Linked DNA regions of Lytechinus pictus. The protein of the gene in region 1 binds, or shares a complex with, the protein of each later gene. Links are inferred from orthologs where the notes say so. Each region holds a gene or a part of one and is shown in the gene's direction. Other genes may lie near its edges.

Region 1 (6,951 bases):
CATGAATATGATCATCTTCAGGGAACTTTATACATTGATCGCATGGACACCCGGACATTTGCTGATCTACAATGGCCTAAATGGAATGAGAAGTGAATTCAGAAATGATCAGTCAGTCAACCTCTGAAGTAGTATATGAGCTTTTGCGCTCGATCTGCCAGTCGATTGTCGGGTATCTGCTTTTGAAAGAAACCCCCAGCCTGCCGAAACTTACATACCTGTTCAGTACAAGAGTCCTTCACCGAATGTGATTCAAAGAATTGACCCGTAGCTGTTGGAGACTGAGCACACATATATATGCATGCTTGAGATTTATAAAAATTTCAAAGATTTCATTTCAGTCAGTCTCTTATTGGTTAAATTGATTGTGTATTTTGAATTGATACAAACTTCCTTTCTTGCATTGACATTAATTACCCAATTACATCACTTTATTTCCAATTTGTCGAATGCCACTTCTTCCAATTGCCAACTCGTCTACTACCATTTGGTCTACCATTTCGTCCACTGACCACATGGTGTACTTTCATTTAGTCCAATGCCATTCCGTCGAATAACGAGTTGGTCCAATAGCCATTTTGTCCATATACCATTTGGTCTTTATTAAACTAAAATGTTAATTGTGCAAAGTGAATGAAAAGAAAATGGGTATTAGACCAACTGGTTATTAGACGAAATGGTAATAGACGAACTGGTGATTAGACTAAGTGATGATTGGACCAAATGGTTATTGGACCAAATGGTTGTTAGACGAAATGTTGATGGACGGAATGGCATTAGACTAAATGAAGGCAGACCATGTGGTAAGTGGATGAGTTGGCAGTGGACGAATTGGCAATTTACCATTACATCTAACTGTTGGTTGCAGTGTACCGGTACATATTCTTGCTTCATTTGCCATCCTCCTTTCGATGGGCTATTTGGCTATTTTTATAATCATGTCCAATAACTTATTGAATTCCTCATTTGAACTTTGCATATTCTGCATTTGTGGTGGAAATACACATAGTTCATGAGTCATATGAATTGATATGGAAAAAAGAAGCTCCTTCGCCTGTTCAGAAGATTTTCTACTATCTACATTTAACTGTGGTAGTTTTAGAATAAAGTGACCTAGTTATTTTATTTTTCTTACAGAAAATATGTTTAGTGTGAGATATTCTCTATACTGAATAAAAACATTTCTGAATGTATTATCATGAATTGTGAACTATGAAAGAGTGCAAATAATGTTTTATGCAAATTATCTCTGAAACTCAAGTACTAATGGATTTTTCTTGCCCCAAATTTTCCCCTTAAGTATAAACCAATCATAATCATGAATATGGAGGATTTTATTCTGTAACAATGAAGTGTAATTTCATCTAAAGATAAATAAATCATCAACAAAATTGACATTCTTTGGTTCAATTGATCTTAATTTTTAAAAATGCCTTGGCAAGTTACATGTGTAGTATGCACGGGCAGAGCAACATGTTGTTGTTCTGCTAAACTTTGTATATCTTGTAATGCTTCTTTCAAGTACGTCTTTAATACGCACTGCCGTAGTAAGTTATTTGACTTGTTGCATAACCCTCTGAATAATTGCACATGTACACAATCCTTTTTAAACCATCCAATTCATCCCTTTAAAGGGGTACTCCGGGCTGAAAATATATCGAAATAAATAGAGTAAAATTCACAGAGCAAAATGTTGAAAAATTCATCAAAATCGGATAACAAATAACAAAGTTATTGAATTTTAAAGTTTAGCAATATTTTGTAAAAAAAAGTTACATACATCATCATGAATATTCATTAGGTGGGCTGATGATGTCACATCCCCACTTTCCTTTTGTTATTACATGAAATCATAATTGTTTCATTTTTCACACATGTGTGAACAATGTGTCTCCTTTATAATGAAATAAGTTGCAGCAATAAATTTCATTAAATCAGTTGTCAATCCAATTTTTTAAGTTCTTGGTAGAAAAAATTTGAAAAACCTAATTTCATATAATAAAATAAAAAAAAAAACAAGTGGGGATAATGACATCATCAATTTGCTCATTGAATATTCATGAAGACATGCCTAGAACTGTTTCACTGGAATAATGCAAATCTTTAAATTGCCATAACTTTGTTATTCATTGTCCGATTTTAACCAAATTTTCAGTGTTTTGTTTGTCTGATTTTTCTTTACCTGTTTGAATCATATAAATTTCAGCCTGGAGCATCCCTTTAAAATGTAAAGTGGTAGTAAGTAAAGGCATGCTCAAGGCTTTTCCATTTGCAATTTTCCACAGGAAAATGTTCCTTATGTTTTTTTTATTGGTTGAAAATTTCAAAGACAATTTTTTTTGGTTTATAGTGGATATGTTGAAAAATATTCATATACAACAATGGTCCTAATTAATGGTCATTACCGTCTTTGTGATTGATTTGCAAACATTGTGGTAATGATGCCCTGATCTACTCCGATCAGACACTTCTCCAATTAACAACAATTGTCCCATTGAAAAAGTCAGACGAGAGGAAATACTTTACATCATTCTGATAGATATAATGACCCTTATTATATAATTTCCATTATCCTCTTTATTTCAGTGTCTTGTGTGATTTATGATAATGACACTGACATTATGTACTGTTGTCCAGTAAAGAAAGGTTGCTTGAAATACATTTCATTTTGCCTCATCAACTTTTGTTCATTTGTTCTGGCATTCCAGTTTTTTCATAATTAATGTAACTTAAAAAAAATATTATGAACAGTGGCGGACTGTGACCCAGAGGAGACAAAGCATTGGAGGGGCACAGTATTGTTCACAAAGAATACAGTGCCCCTCCAATCATTTGTCTCCTTGGGGTCACGGTCCGCCACTGATTATGAAGTAAAATACTAATTTGTTGCCAGATTTTACCACTGAATTTGAAAACATTGTGTGGTGATGATGCCTTCATCAGGCTTTACTCCGATTTGCAACAATTGTCCCATTGAAAAAGTCAGACGAGAGGAAATGCTTCACAAAATTTTGATAATTATAATGACTCTTGTTATATAATTTCCATTATTCTCTTGTTTAAGTGTATTGTGTGATTTATGATAATGACATTATGGCATTATGTACTGTTGTCCAGCAAAGAAAGATTGCTTGATTTTGCCTCATCAACTTTTGTTCATTTGTTCTGGCATACCAGTTTTTTCATAATTAATGTTATATAAAAAAAATATTATGAAATAAAATACTAATTGGTTGCCAAATTTTACCCCTGATTGAATGAAATGTATGAAATTATTCATTATTACGTAAAGCTCAACAATCATAATGTACATTTTTTTAAATAACATTGTTAACCTGTATCATGATATTTATCAAAGACAAGAATAATGATGATTGATGATGACGATAATGGCGGTAAGCTGGTGGTAAGGATGGTGAGGGTGATGATGAATATGATGATGATGATGGTAATGATGGTGTTGGTGATGATGATGATAATGATGATGGTAATTAAGGCTAATGATAATGAAACGTTAATCTATATTATGATATTGATATTGATAAAAGAGAAGAATAGTGATGTTTGATGATGATGATGGTGAGGCTAATTATAATAAAATGATCTAAATTATGATCGGATAAAAGAGAAGAATAGTGATGATGATTATGATGAAAATGAATGATGATGTCGATATCAAGGTGAGGAGAAAAAAAATGAGAAAAGGGGAAAAGAGGGAAGAAAGCACGAAGAAAAGTAACAAAAAGCGTAGCTTAGTAGTAAATTATGTTTTGCCCCCCCCCCCCCCAGCCCCACGATTCCAGCCCCACAATCCAGCCCCACAATCCAGCCCCCACAATCCAGCCCCACGATTCCAGGGCCAGACCGGCCTCGATTCCATAATGGGGTATGTCGGTCCAGTCATGCGGTCTCGCCGCCGCGCCTAGCCGGCCGGATCCTTGGAAACGTGATGCCAAAAATGTCGCCGATTAAAAGATTTGCGATATATTTTCTTCTCATTTTCTGGGTAATGGAGGTCAATTCAACCAATCCATTCCCTTACACGACCGTACAACAATGTATAGCTAATGGAGAATACTACAATATAGCAGAATTAAGATGTGATCCTTGTGGAGACAACCAAGAACCTACCGTTGATGGTAAGACTATTTGTTATACATTTGTGGACAGTCCGACATGTTCAATTAATTGCTGGTGTGATGCCTGATGGTGGTCCCCATTCCCCAAGACTTGGGCCAAGTCTGCGCACCTAATTTGAGTTAAGATTTAAGTTATGAACATGGATTTCTTTTTATTTCACAAAGTCTTTCAGTTAGTAATGTTCCTTATATTATTATGAGTAAGTGTAGGCCCTACCAAATATCTCATAAAAATTAAAGAAATATAGCCAGGAATTTGGATGAGTTGGAAAAACCACTCTAGGCGACACCCCAATACTTACCCGTGCTAATAAACTGGGACTCCACTCACGCGCGTTTGAGCCTCCCTAGCTTAGAACTAAGCACTAATATCACCTTAAAAACTAAATCTACAAGGTATGTATAATCTATTTACAACTTTAATAATGTTTAATCGGTACTCACCGGTTCTTTTGTTGCATTTTCAGACCATTTCTCACAATTCTTCGTAAATATTTGCGGCAAATTTTGTCGCCATAGACAGCTTAGCATCCATCTTTATTGATAAATGGAGCGCCCTTTACGATAGTTGTTAATGCCGCGGAGAAATCGTTAGGCATTTTGGCCTGTGTTCAAGGCGTTCTTTCTGTTTTATTTTTTATATTGAAGATTGTGCATTTGTTGAATAGCGCCGTCTACGTCAGGTATGAGATCGAGTGTATAAATACACTCTTCCAAAATAATTATGATTCCGACCTGGCGCTGTTTAACTTCAATCTCTTTCACCTAAATTAGCGATGAATGCTAGCATTATAAAATATATATTATTAACGTCTGACGAAAAGAATAACCAACCGATCAGCTGACGAGAACGCGAATCACGTGATCTTCATATCAGCTTCGATCGCGAGTCAGAAGAGAAGAGCAGCTGCCCAGAAAATCAGGAAAAAGCCGTGAAAATGTAAGTTCCCCTTCATTTCTTTCATTTTTTGTTGTTGCTAACGATGCATTTACACTATAAAATTATAATTTAAATAAGAGAAAGGAATATAGCTTGTACTTGTGATATAATATATAAATATCCTGTTCTCAGAGATTTCTAACCAAAAATACTACTGATGTCGCCTATGAGGTCCATACATGTAATGTTGGACCTCATTGGTACTAGGAGTGGGAAAAACCTCGGGCAGCTGGCAGTCATTCAGATTGATTATTGAAAAAAAATTGGCAGGGTCTACCCCATGTCTGCACACCCATTCACTTTGCACATGATTCAGGGATTTTTTATGAGAAAGGCTGCATTTTGAGAAATTTGAGGCTGTCCTGAAATTCATTATTTTTCCACCACAAGGGGGACTGCGCAGACAAGTTGGGGGACCTTATGTACGAATTACGATACGTTGTGTGACCCAATACGCTCTTGCGAGGTTAGCTAGATCTATACTAGACAGCTGGCAGCCGTCTGTTTCGAGGAGTTTTTTAACATTTTTGTTATTTTTTAAATTTCTCCTCATACACAGACGGCTCGCTATCGTGCAGCCACCATTAGGGGACTTACAATGCAAAATCCCCCCGTCGGGGCTCTTCAATTTTTGTCTTTAATGAATCAATTTTTTGAAAATTAACGCGACCGAAATGCAAATTAATATTCCCTCTTGGCATTGATTGCCAAAAACGGGGAAAATCAAGTTAAAAGGAACAAAAACAGTGACTTACCTCGGCTGTCGCGCAACTTCACTGCCCTGTTTTATCCGAACTTAATACACATAAACATATGGCCATTGAGTCCCCTGTATAGATCGCGCTAGAACTTCGGTCTCTGTATTTGGTGAGTGAAGCCAACGGAGTTCAGCTGAACAACCAACATAACAGAGACCGAAGCTTTTGGTCTAGATCTATACTAACTAACCTCGCACACCCAAACGCACCGTATGAATAGACAGCATAGTTGTAGCCTACATGTAGAGAGGGAGTTGAAGTAATTTTCATCCAATATTTGGAACTGTCTGATATTTGGGCCATTTAGTCTTTACTCTTTTTTTTTCAAACTAATTTTATCAATTTGTAGACTCATCAATTCATAGTTAAATCTACACAGTAATGGCCAGTTATTTTCTTCTTTTTAAATCTGAACTTAAATACCGATATGTAAGTGCAAAAAGTTTTGATATTCACTGCTTTTTATTTTGTCAGGGTTGCCAATTGAGCTTGCCTTTGCTTTGCCTTTTGATCAACTTTGGCTCATAGGTAGAACAGTGTGTACAGTTATGGTGCTTGTAATGCATTAGAGAATAGAATTCTAGTTTCTTTATCTTCTTTTTTGTCAACTTTTATCGGAGATCAGCATCAAAATGCTATATCATATTGTATCCATCCATCCAAATGAAGATGCCCAGAGGATGCAGAAAGGATACAGCCGACGTTAAATGGATGATAACGGACACGGAACTTTTGCTGCCAGTAAATGTTGCGGATTCGCATTGTACACGACGGAAAGTTCATTTGCTCGAAAAGTTTTGTGTAGCTCAAAATTTTTTGCTTGGATGAAATCTGGGTGGACGGATGCTCAATGGATAGAGCATATGAAACACCTATGCAATGAGTACACAGCGGATGCATAGCGTTTTCCAACGGATTGCAAGATTTTTTTACATCCTCTTTGCATATCTGTAAGTGCAGTGGGACACACTCATTCAATGAACAAGGTTATGATATAACCTTGTTCTCAGTTACATCTCCATGTGTGGCAAAATAAAGTTGGCAATGTTTGGCTTATTTTCTCTTTTCGTTGGGACAAATGCTTGATTTTTTTACACTGTCAGTTTCAATTACA
Region 2 (7,985 bases), on another chromosome or scaffold:
ATCGATCAACTTTCTTTGCCACCCTCCCCCATTTTAAAATCATGGGTCTATCATAATAAACAATGCTATCACTGTGGTATTATTTCGTTATACTTACCAACAGTTTCAAGGAATTTTTCAGTATTTGTCATCAGCGTCAGAAACTCTTCAAAGTCAATTTCCCCACTTCCTGCAAATAAACAATCAACATAATTTATAAGCATTAATTGGCAATTAACCTTGATAATTGACTAAAACTGTTGGTTTTAGATGGTAATTTGTTTCCAGCTCATAGGCCTAATATTGTGATTTTTTATTTTTTATTTCAAGCATAATTAAATGAATGTTTATCGTGACAATAATCTTCATTTTTCATTATGTTCATGTTTTTGCAAAAAGATAAATAAATAGATAAATGCAATTGGATTGGCTATGAATATTCACAGAATGGCATAAGTCTTTATTGTCTGGCACTGACGTTCTTTCTAAAATGTAAATAAATCTTACCGTCTTTGTCGATCCCTTCCAGAACATCTCGGATATCTTGTGCGGGTAGATGGATATCCACAGAGCTCAAAGCTAGCTGAAGCTCATCTGCATCAATGGTTCCTCCACCATTGCTGTCGAAGAGATCGAACACCTCTTGGAAAGCTGAAGAAAAAAATGAATTAAATCCCATCAAGACGATTGTGAAAAATCATCATTGGTTAATTTTCACTAAAAACCTCCAAACATCTCAATTTAAACATTACCTATAATCTAATCAAATATAATCCCATCTAATCCAATCCAATTATAATATTCTCAACAGACACAGCAGCTCAATGACCATCCCCTCCTGGCTGTGACGATTTCATAGTTGAAATTAGGCAAAAATTGTTAAAATAATTATATTTTATGAAAGAATAAATCCATGAAAGCGATAGAACTTTCATTATAAGTTTTGATTATATTATTACACATTTTTAAAGATTCCAATGTGAGAATGTCATTCCAATTAATATGATTACATTATAAAAGATTTGCCAAATCTCTTTGAAGATATGCTCCCTTTTCAAACAATACCTTCAACCTGCTCTTTGGTGAGTGCAGGTTCGGGTTCAGCTGATTTCTTCTTGCGTCGCTGATGAGGAGAGTATGACATGTCATCCATTCGACTACCGCGCCGGTTATATGCACCATCTCCAGGGTGGCTGCTCCCTCGCCTGCCGGAAGCTGGACCCCTTCCGTAGTCAACAGTACTCTGGCGTCGACCTCCCGAGCCAGTCTCCGGTAGCACGCTACCTCTTCGGAGGTACCCGTCGCCCATGGTGCTGCCTCGCCTTCCACCAGTTGCTACGCTTCCACGACGACTTTGCTGAGGAAAAAGAATATCATGATATAAATCTATTTTCCTATTAATTCATGATATCTATCTGGTTAAAATTAAGATCCAGGATTGACCAGAGAGGCGGGGGGGGGGGGGGGGGGCAGGTCCATAACTTTTTCTTCATTTTCACAAAATAATAATAATAAAAAACATCACTAGGCAATAATTGCCTCCTCTTGGCGCCAGGGTCAGGGAAAGAGCCCCCTCCTCCAAACTTCGAAGGCCTACACACTAGCTTGTATTATCTATTAAAAAAAAAACACCAAATATTCCATTAGTCCTTGAGCGGGGGGGGGGGGGGCATCTGGATCAGCCTCTGTCTCCAGATAGTATATTATGTAATACTCTCAGGGAAGTAAAAACACAATTTTTTTGATATAAGGAAAAACCCATCTATTATTCATTCATCTATTTATTATTCTATCATCATCGTCATCATGATCATCATCTTCTTCTTCTTCACAATCACATTGCCATCAATATTCATTTGGAGAAGCTGTAGACCAAAAGTAATATTAACAGGGTGATATCTGGTGCCTGGCTGGCTTAAAAAAAATGGACACCATGAAATTATTTTTGTTCATTTTACATACCCCACTTGACGGTATGGTACTCTTGCTTCTTCTTTCCTGATCTTCAGATTTAGTTCGAAATCTATCGGAGCTACTCGCTTTTGGTATAGCCCCAATACTCTCCCTGCTGTTCTTGGTACTGTAATTGTTATTCTTCAACGACTCCATGTCACTGCGGTGGACATATATCGCCCCTCTTCTACTTACATCCGACATGATTTTTGTTTATTTTACCTAATTATGAACAAAACAAATATTTACAAAAATTTGGTCTACTGTTACTGAATAGTGCTTTTTTTGCTATTTCCAGAAAGCCGAAACCAGCCGTACGTTTTAGTTGCTCGTCATTTTACATCGAGTCGACTTTTCTGTTCGCTGTCTACGTACCGGTACTCGTGTGCATGTGTCATGTGGATTTGTTTATGTCTGACGTCACCGTGGGAAAGTTTACTCGAGACATCCCGTGACCCGACCTATATTACGTTTTGGTGATGTCATAATGGATAAACCAAAGGATCAACAATAATGACAACCGCGCAAGACGATGGGTTCAGGCTGGGTTCTGGGCGTATTCTGAAAACCGTGTTATCTGCGTGTTATCTCATTTCGTGTTATCTTCGGCTCCTCCCACTCTACATCTATTTAATCCAATCAAATGCGCTGTTAAAGAAACAAATCGCGCAAAATTTTCAGGGAAAAGGGAACGTGCGCACGGTGATACGAAGCCTGCATTGTGACATCATTCTGTAAGCGCATACAGCTACTAGTAAATAAAAGTTAGAGCTAGAAAGAGACGTGGGGAGGGGTACGTGATTGTGACAATTAAGAACTGAATTGAATTTATTTTCATACTTCACAAGATAACAAAATAATAACATAATACAAGAAATTGATTATTTCAGACAGCATGGATACGAAATTATAACAGGAGACAGAGGCCTCGATCGATTGTGGAGCGGGCAGGGGACGATCGCCCTAAGATATGGGGGCAAGCATAATTTATACATGCCCCCAATAATTTTGAGAACTTGAAAAAATAAAAATGCAAATTTTGAAAAGCATGAAAAGCACTTTAAGAAAAATTAAATCTGACATAGAAATATCAAACACAAAATTGTATTTTTTTCTATATTATAATTTGATGCGTAGAGCGATCAGCCATGCAAAAAAAAAACACTTTTGACCGCCCCCTCCCCCCATCCGAAGCATATAGATTGACTGGCGTGATAGATAGATTGAGAATAACCTAGAAGCATTGAGAGTTAAAAAAAATTATTGGAGCTATATAATCATTGAAAAAGGGTTTTTAAAAATGTGAATATTATAGAAGTTTCCCCAATTGCTAATTCCATTCTTTTTAATTTTTGTTTGTGCTTTTCTTTTAGACGTTTGTAATTTTCTTCCTCTTTTTGTCTTTTTTATATCATGGCAAAAAGTAACCAAATAAATAACTCATGATCATATATGATAATGATTTTAATTAGTCCAAATCAAAGATGCATTTAAATTGTATTTTCATAGGAAATTCCAAAGAAATTGTTGTTTAATCATTGTTAGTAGAGACTAAAGGTAAATGGAAAAAAGAAAGAAAATTACAGTAAATCCTGCCAAACGATAGTTATTTGCCCGTTTATGTTCTTCTTGACGTTTGCGTCTGCTAGAAAAAGTGCAGCCATCGTCATCCCCAACTTAACCTCTCCTTAACGCAGTGTTAAATTTTCGTGTTATCTTTGAACAAAATTTTAGCTAACACCATTTTCAGAATACCAAATTTCGTGTTATCTTCCTCCCTAACACCGCGTATGGGGGTTGCGCGTTGCGCACTGCGTATTTCATGACCTGCGCGGTGTTACCACTTGGGCCACGTGTTTTTCATGCTAACACGATTTTCAGAATACCAATCGTGTTAGCTAACACCACACCGTTTTTGTGCTAACACGGTTTTCAGAATACCGCCCCAGTTCACCCCCGCCCGCACCCCACCCCACCCTTCACCTGCGCTGCGCGCTCATAAAACTCACGTGTCGGATGGACACGTGATATAATACAGGCCCCGCCCTTTTCATGATCGTATTACACATTTTGCACGAGACATGGCAGCATGCAGCATGAACAGTCGCATATTGGATGTGTGGGCCTAAAATAAAACAAATTACTAGTATATGACAATTTTTAGTTTATATTTTTTTTTCTTCACAAAACTCTTGGTCAATGCATACGATCCTGTTGGGATCATGTATGCTATGAGAATAACGGAATCGATCGTTCTGTTTTTGTTGTTGTTGTATTTTGTTATAAGCATTGATCAAAATGTTAAAATTTTACAGATTTGATGATTAAAAAAACCCACTCCGAATTATGACTAAACAAGGTCCGTGAGTATTAAAACAAACCATTATTTACATTTTAGAAGGATAATGTAAAAATTCTTTTTCAGGTATTCATGCAAATAATACAAATAATAATAAATATAAAATGAAAATATAGTGAATGTGTGACGAAAGGTTGTGCATTCCCACTTGCATATCGCCATTGATGTGCATTTCATTCTGTTTTCTGCTAATAAGCGAAAACCATGTCGTACTTTCAATTTTACATAAAATTTCAATTAATTTTTGTTTGCATTATTTTTATTTTTCCTTCATTAATTCTTATTGACATTGTTTTATTTCTACCAATGATGGTAACCTGTTGTGTAGGGCAACCGATATTAGATAACTAGGTGAGAGTGAGACTCCCATAGGCGAATTATATAATTTTAGGGTAAAATCTAGTGAGATACTGAGATTGATAGAAATGCATGCAAAATTTAGAGTGAGACTGAAAAGGGACCAAAATGAGTGAGAGTCACTCTCTGAGTGAGAGTTTGCAGCCCTGTGTTTTCATATCATTTATATCATTGAATGTTATTCATTGTAAATGCATGAAATGATTATTTGGGTGTATTTTGTGTTGGAAGTTAAATTGAAACTGAATTTGAATAATAGATAAATTATACCGGTAGGCCTATTCGTAGGTTTGGGTGGCAGTGCAGTAGAAAAAAAAATCCGCACTATTCTCGTGTCGTCCACAAGAGGGCAGCACTGAAAAATTCCTTTCGAAATGGCTGCCGCTGTCTTGGTAAGTTTCCAATAAATTAAAAATGCTTGTATCGAAAATTACTGAATAACTTAGCAAGAATTTGACAAATAACCAATTCGGTATACTTTCAGCTGTAAGCGGGTAAATATTTATTTGCATTTGGTGTTATATTTGTAGATAAAAAGGGCTTCTACAACTTGAGTGACTGAGTGAGTGTGACGGTTGAATTGACGGTTTGTTGAAATTGGGCACCGTCCTTGGAGCTGGTCGCGTCGGGAGTGGCTGGCGCGACCTGGCCGCTGTGGAGACGGCTACTCCGGCTAACTCCAGTGACAGTCCACGCTCCGCGACTCCAGCTCCGAGACCACGATCGGCATTGACCACGTGGTTCATTGATGTAGGCCTACAGTGCAACCGTTACCTGCCACCTCGTCTCATTTTACTTTTGATACATTATTTGGAGTAGATCTACCACCTACATGATGTATTGACCTAATGTAAATGCCTTTTTTGTTTGGACTTTGCCTTGGCTGCCTTTAAAAGGCTTTATTCCTGGAAATTGAGGGTCTAGCTTAAAAAAGTATAGACCGTCGATACGATACTCGATAGTGTCTTTTTTACTAGTGAGTCTATACTTAGTAAAATTTACTCATGTAGGCCTAGGTCTGAACTAGTTGTAACACTAGTACTATCCTACTACTACTACTAGTAACAGGTAACTAACAGTAACATACCTAGTCTATTCTAGATTTTTAGAGTAACGTTAGATCTAAGTCTATTGAAAATGTTTGAGAAATCAAATATTTTGTCTGTTTTTACTTTAATTTTATATTTTTAATTTAGAGTGAAGTTCAGATTTCATGTTTATTTTTAGAGCAGCGGCCAATTCACATCATGAACATTGCCAGGGAGATGTGCCAGCGGGGGCTTAAATTGATGTTAATACCACCTTCTTTCTACGTATAATAAATTTAAAGGCACGGCCATAGCGCTCTCTCGAGAATGTGCACAAAATTTGTATAGGCTCGTTGGTTCGCTTGTCAATGCGTTGATGCCAATATCGTGGCATACGGCTAATGTTAACCCTTTGCGTGCGACGGGCTTCCACAGAAGCCCAGCGAGTCATTCACTTAGCTACGACGGGCTTCTACAGAAGCCGAGAAATGTTTGGTTTAATTCAATTAAGTTTTTCAGCTTTTTCGTAATTGTTATGTACTAAAACCTCTGCCACTATTTCCTTCATAAACCTATTTCGATAACAGATTGAAAAAAATATACAGCTACGTGGGGAAAAATCCCGAAAATAGGAAATCATTTCAACTTTACCCGATTTTTTCGTTGGAGTCGGACGGGGAGGATAAATTTTGTGACGAGCACGTACGCGCGCGCATAAGGCCTGATCACGTGATTTGTTCTGATCACATGATTTGATCCATATCGTTGTTCTGGTAGAGCATCTTGGTTTTCCACGTATTGGCAATAATAATAATAAGACATCAGAAATGCGAAACAAATTCACGAGTAATGCAGTTTTTACAGTGCCAACATTAAGTTCTTTTATTCTGATAGATATACGCTAACATCTTTTCTGCAAGATCGTCACGTAATAAGCTACGCGTTTCTTCACCATTTTCGTCTTATTTGTTTCATCAAGAAGATATCACTCTAGATAGAATGATATCTCCTTGGTTTCATCGATCGATTGCATTTTCAGAAAAGCAAAAAGCTTGTAATGTCTTAGTACTTTGAGCTGATCTCGGTGCACTTTTGAACTTTTTCCCTCCCAATCATCCCTCTTCTTCTCATTATTTTTGTCTACTATTCTGAAAAAAGGAGAAAAGAAGGCAGCTTAGCACACCATTCATCTTCTGCTCTTTTCAAAAGGGGAACGTCCATGTAGTTCATGATATCGGCACTACCCGAACAAAAGAATGTCTGGGCGGCCACTCAAACAAATTCCTTTCGAAAAGAGCAGGATACAAATGGTCAACGCCCCGAACAAAAGGAAGATTAGTGTTTATCGGCAGGATGACCCATTGAACGCTTTTCGTACTTAGCAATACAAAAAGCTTTTATGAATCATTTTTTTCGACCAACATACCGTATCTAAAAAAAAAATGTCTCATTACCGACAACACAGGTGCTTATGACATCCGTCAGTAATTCTTATTGCAAAAAGGCGCTTCCCCTGGGTGATGATGCATATAAGGATGAACGAATAATTATTTAGGGAAATTATCGAAAAAATATGTTCAAATGTCAGGGAGGACGAGAGAGAATGAGAGACAGAGATAAAAGGGGGAACAGACAAGTGCGCTTTTGCTAAAATTCTATGAATATCTACTTAAACGAATTACAACATGACTTTATTTTTTGGTTAGATTACTTTTAAAAAATCCCACAATGTTTGTTTCTTGCAACTCGGTCATCAGACCCTTCCCAAACTTATGACTTTTTATTATTGTTCTTGTTTGACCCCCCTCCCCTGATGGAAATGTTCTGACCTACACTCTAATATTGCTTGTTTGTCTCCTGTCTCCGATTTTCTGTTTTTAATTGCGAGTAACGCGGTAGAAAAGATAAGAATAAAGACCGTCCTGGACCCCTTTCCCCCCCCGTTACGACCAAAAAAAAAAAATCGCATTTGGGGCGCTTACCATGGTTAGCATCTAAACCATTTTGGTTTAGATGGTTTGGAAAAAGAAGGGACAGCAATGTTTTTTATGGTGCAGGTGTTGAGCTGTGGGACGGGGATGAAGCGGCTAAAAAATACAATTTGTTAATTCATGTCATTTTACAGAATGAATTTATAATAGGTTAGGTTTTAGAAGCTCTTCATCTTATTTCCTTTTCTCACCCAGATTAAAACTTTTGCATTAAAAAGTTGACGGAAACATAATTACTTCAAATGATAAAACCAATAATGAACTAAAAGTTTCCTCGCGCGAAATGGAGGAAATAGAATGATACAGGATGATAAATAA

Evidence for each region.
Region 2: meckelin-like (region 1) and transmembrane protein 237-like share a complex: the UniProt entries of both Homo sapiens proteins name them as parts of the tectonic-like complex. The link is inferred for Lytechinus pictus from reciprocal best matches to the Homo sapiens genes TMEM67 and TMEM237.

What each region holds. Positions count from the first base shown.
Region 1 is NC_087246.1:22,606,235-22,613,185, reverse strand, and holds the start of meckelin-like, read left to right. Parts: upstream 1-3,939; 5' UTR 3,940-3,949; coding exon 3,950-4,139; intron 4,140-6,951. Other genes in the region: peptide deformylase, mitochondrial-like, read left to right, coding at 1-96. UniProt on the Homo sapiens protein: Required for ciliary structure and function. Part of the tectonic-like complex which is required for tissue-specific ciliogenesis and may regulate ciliary membrane composition.
Region 2 is NC_087245.1:17,041,644-17,049,628, reverse strand, and holds the start of transmembrane protein 237-like, read left to right. Parts: upstream 1-4,969; 5' UTR 4,970-5,022; coding exon 5,023-5,040; intron 5,041-7,985. Other genes in the region: uncharacterized protein LOC129264684, read right to left, coding at 98-169, 487-630, 1,045-1,336, 1,942-2,136. UniProt on the Homo sapiens protein: Component of the transition zone in primary cilia. Required for ciliogenesis.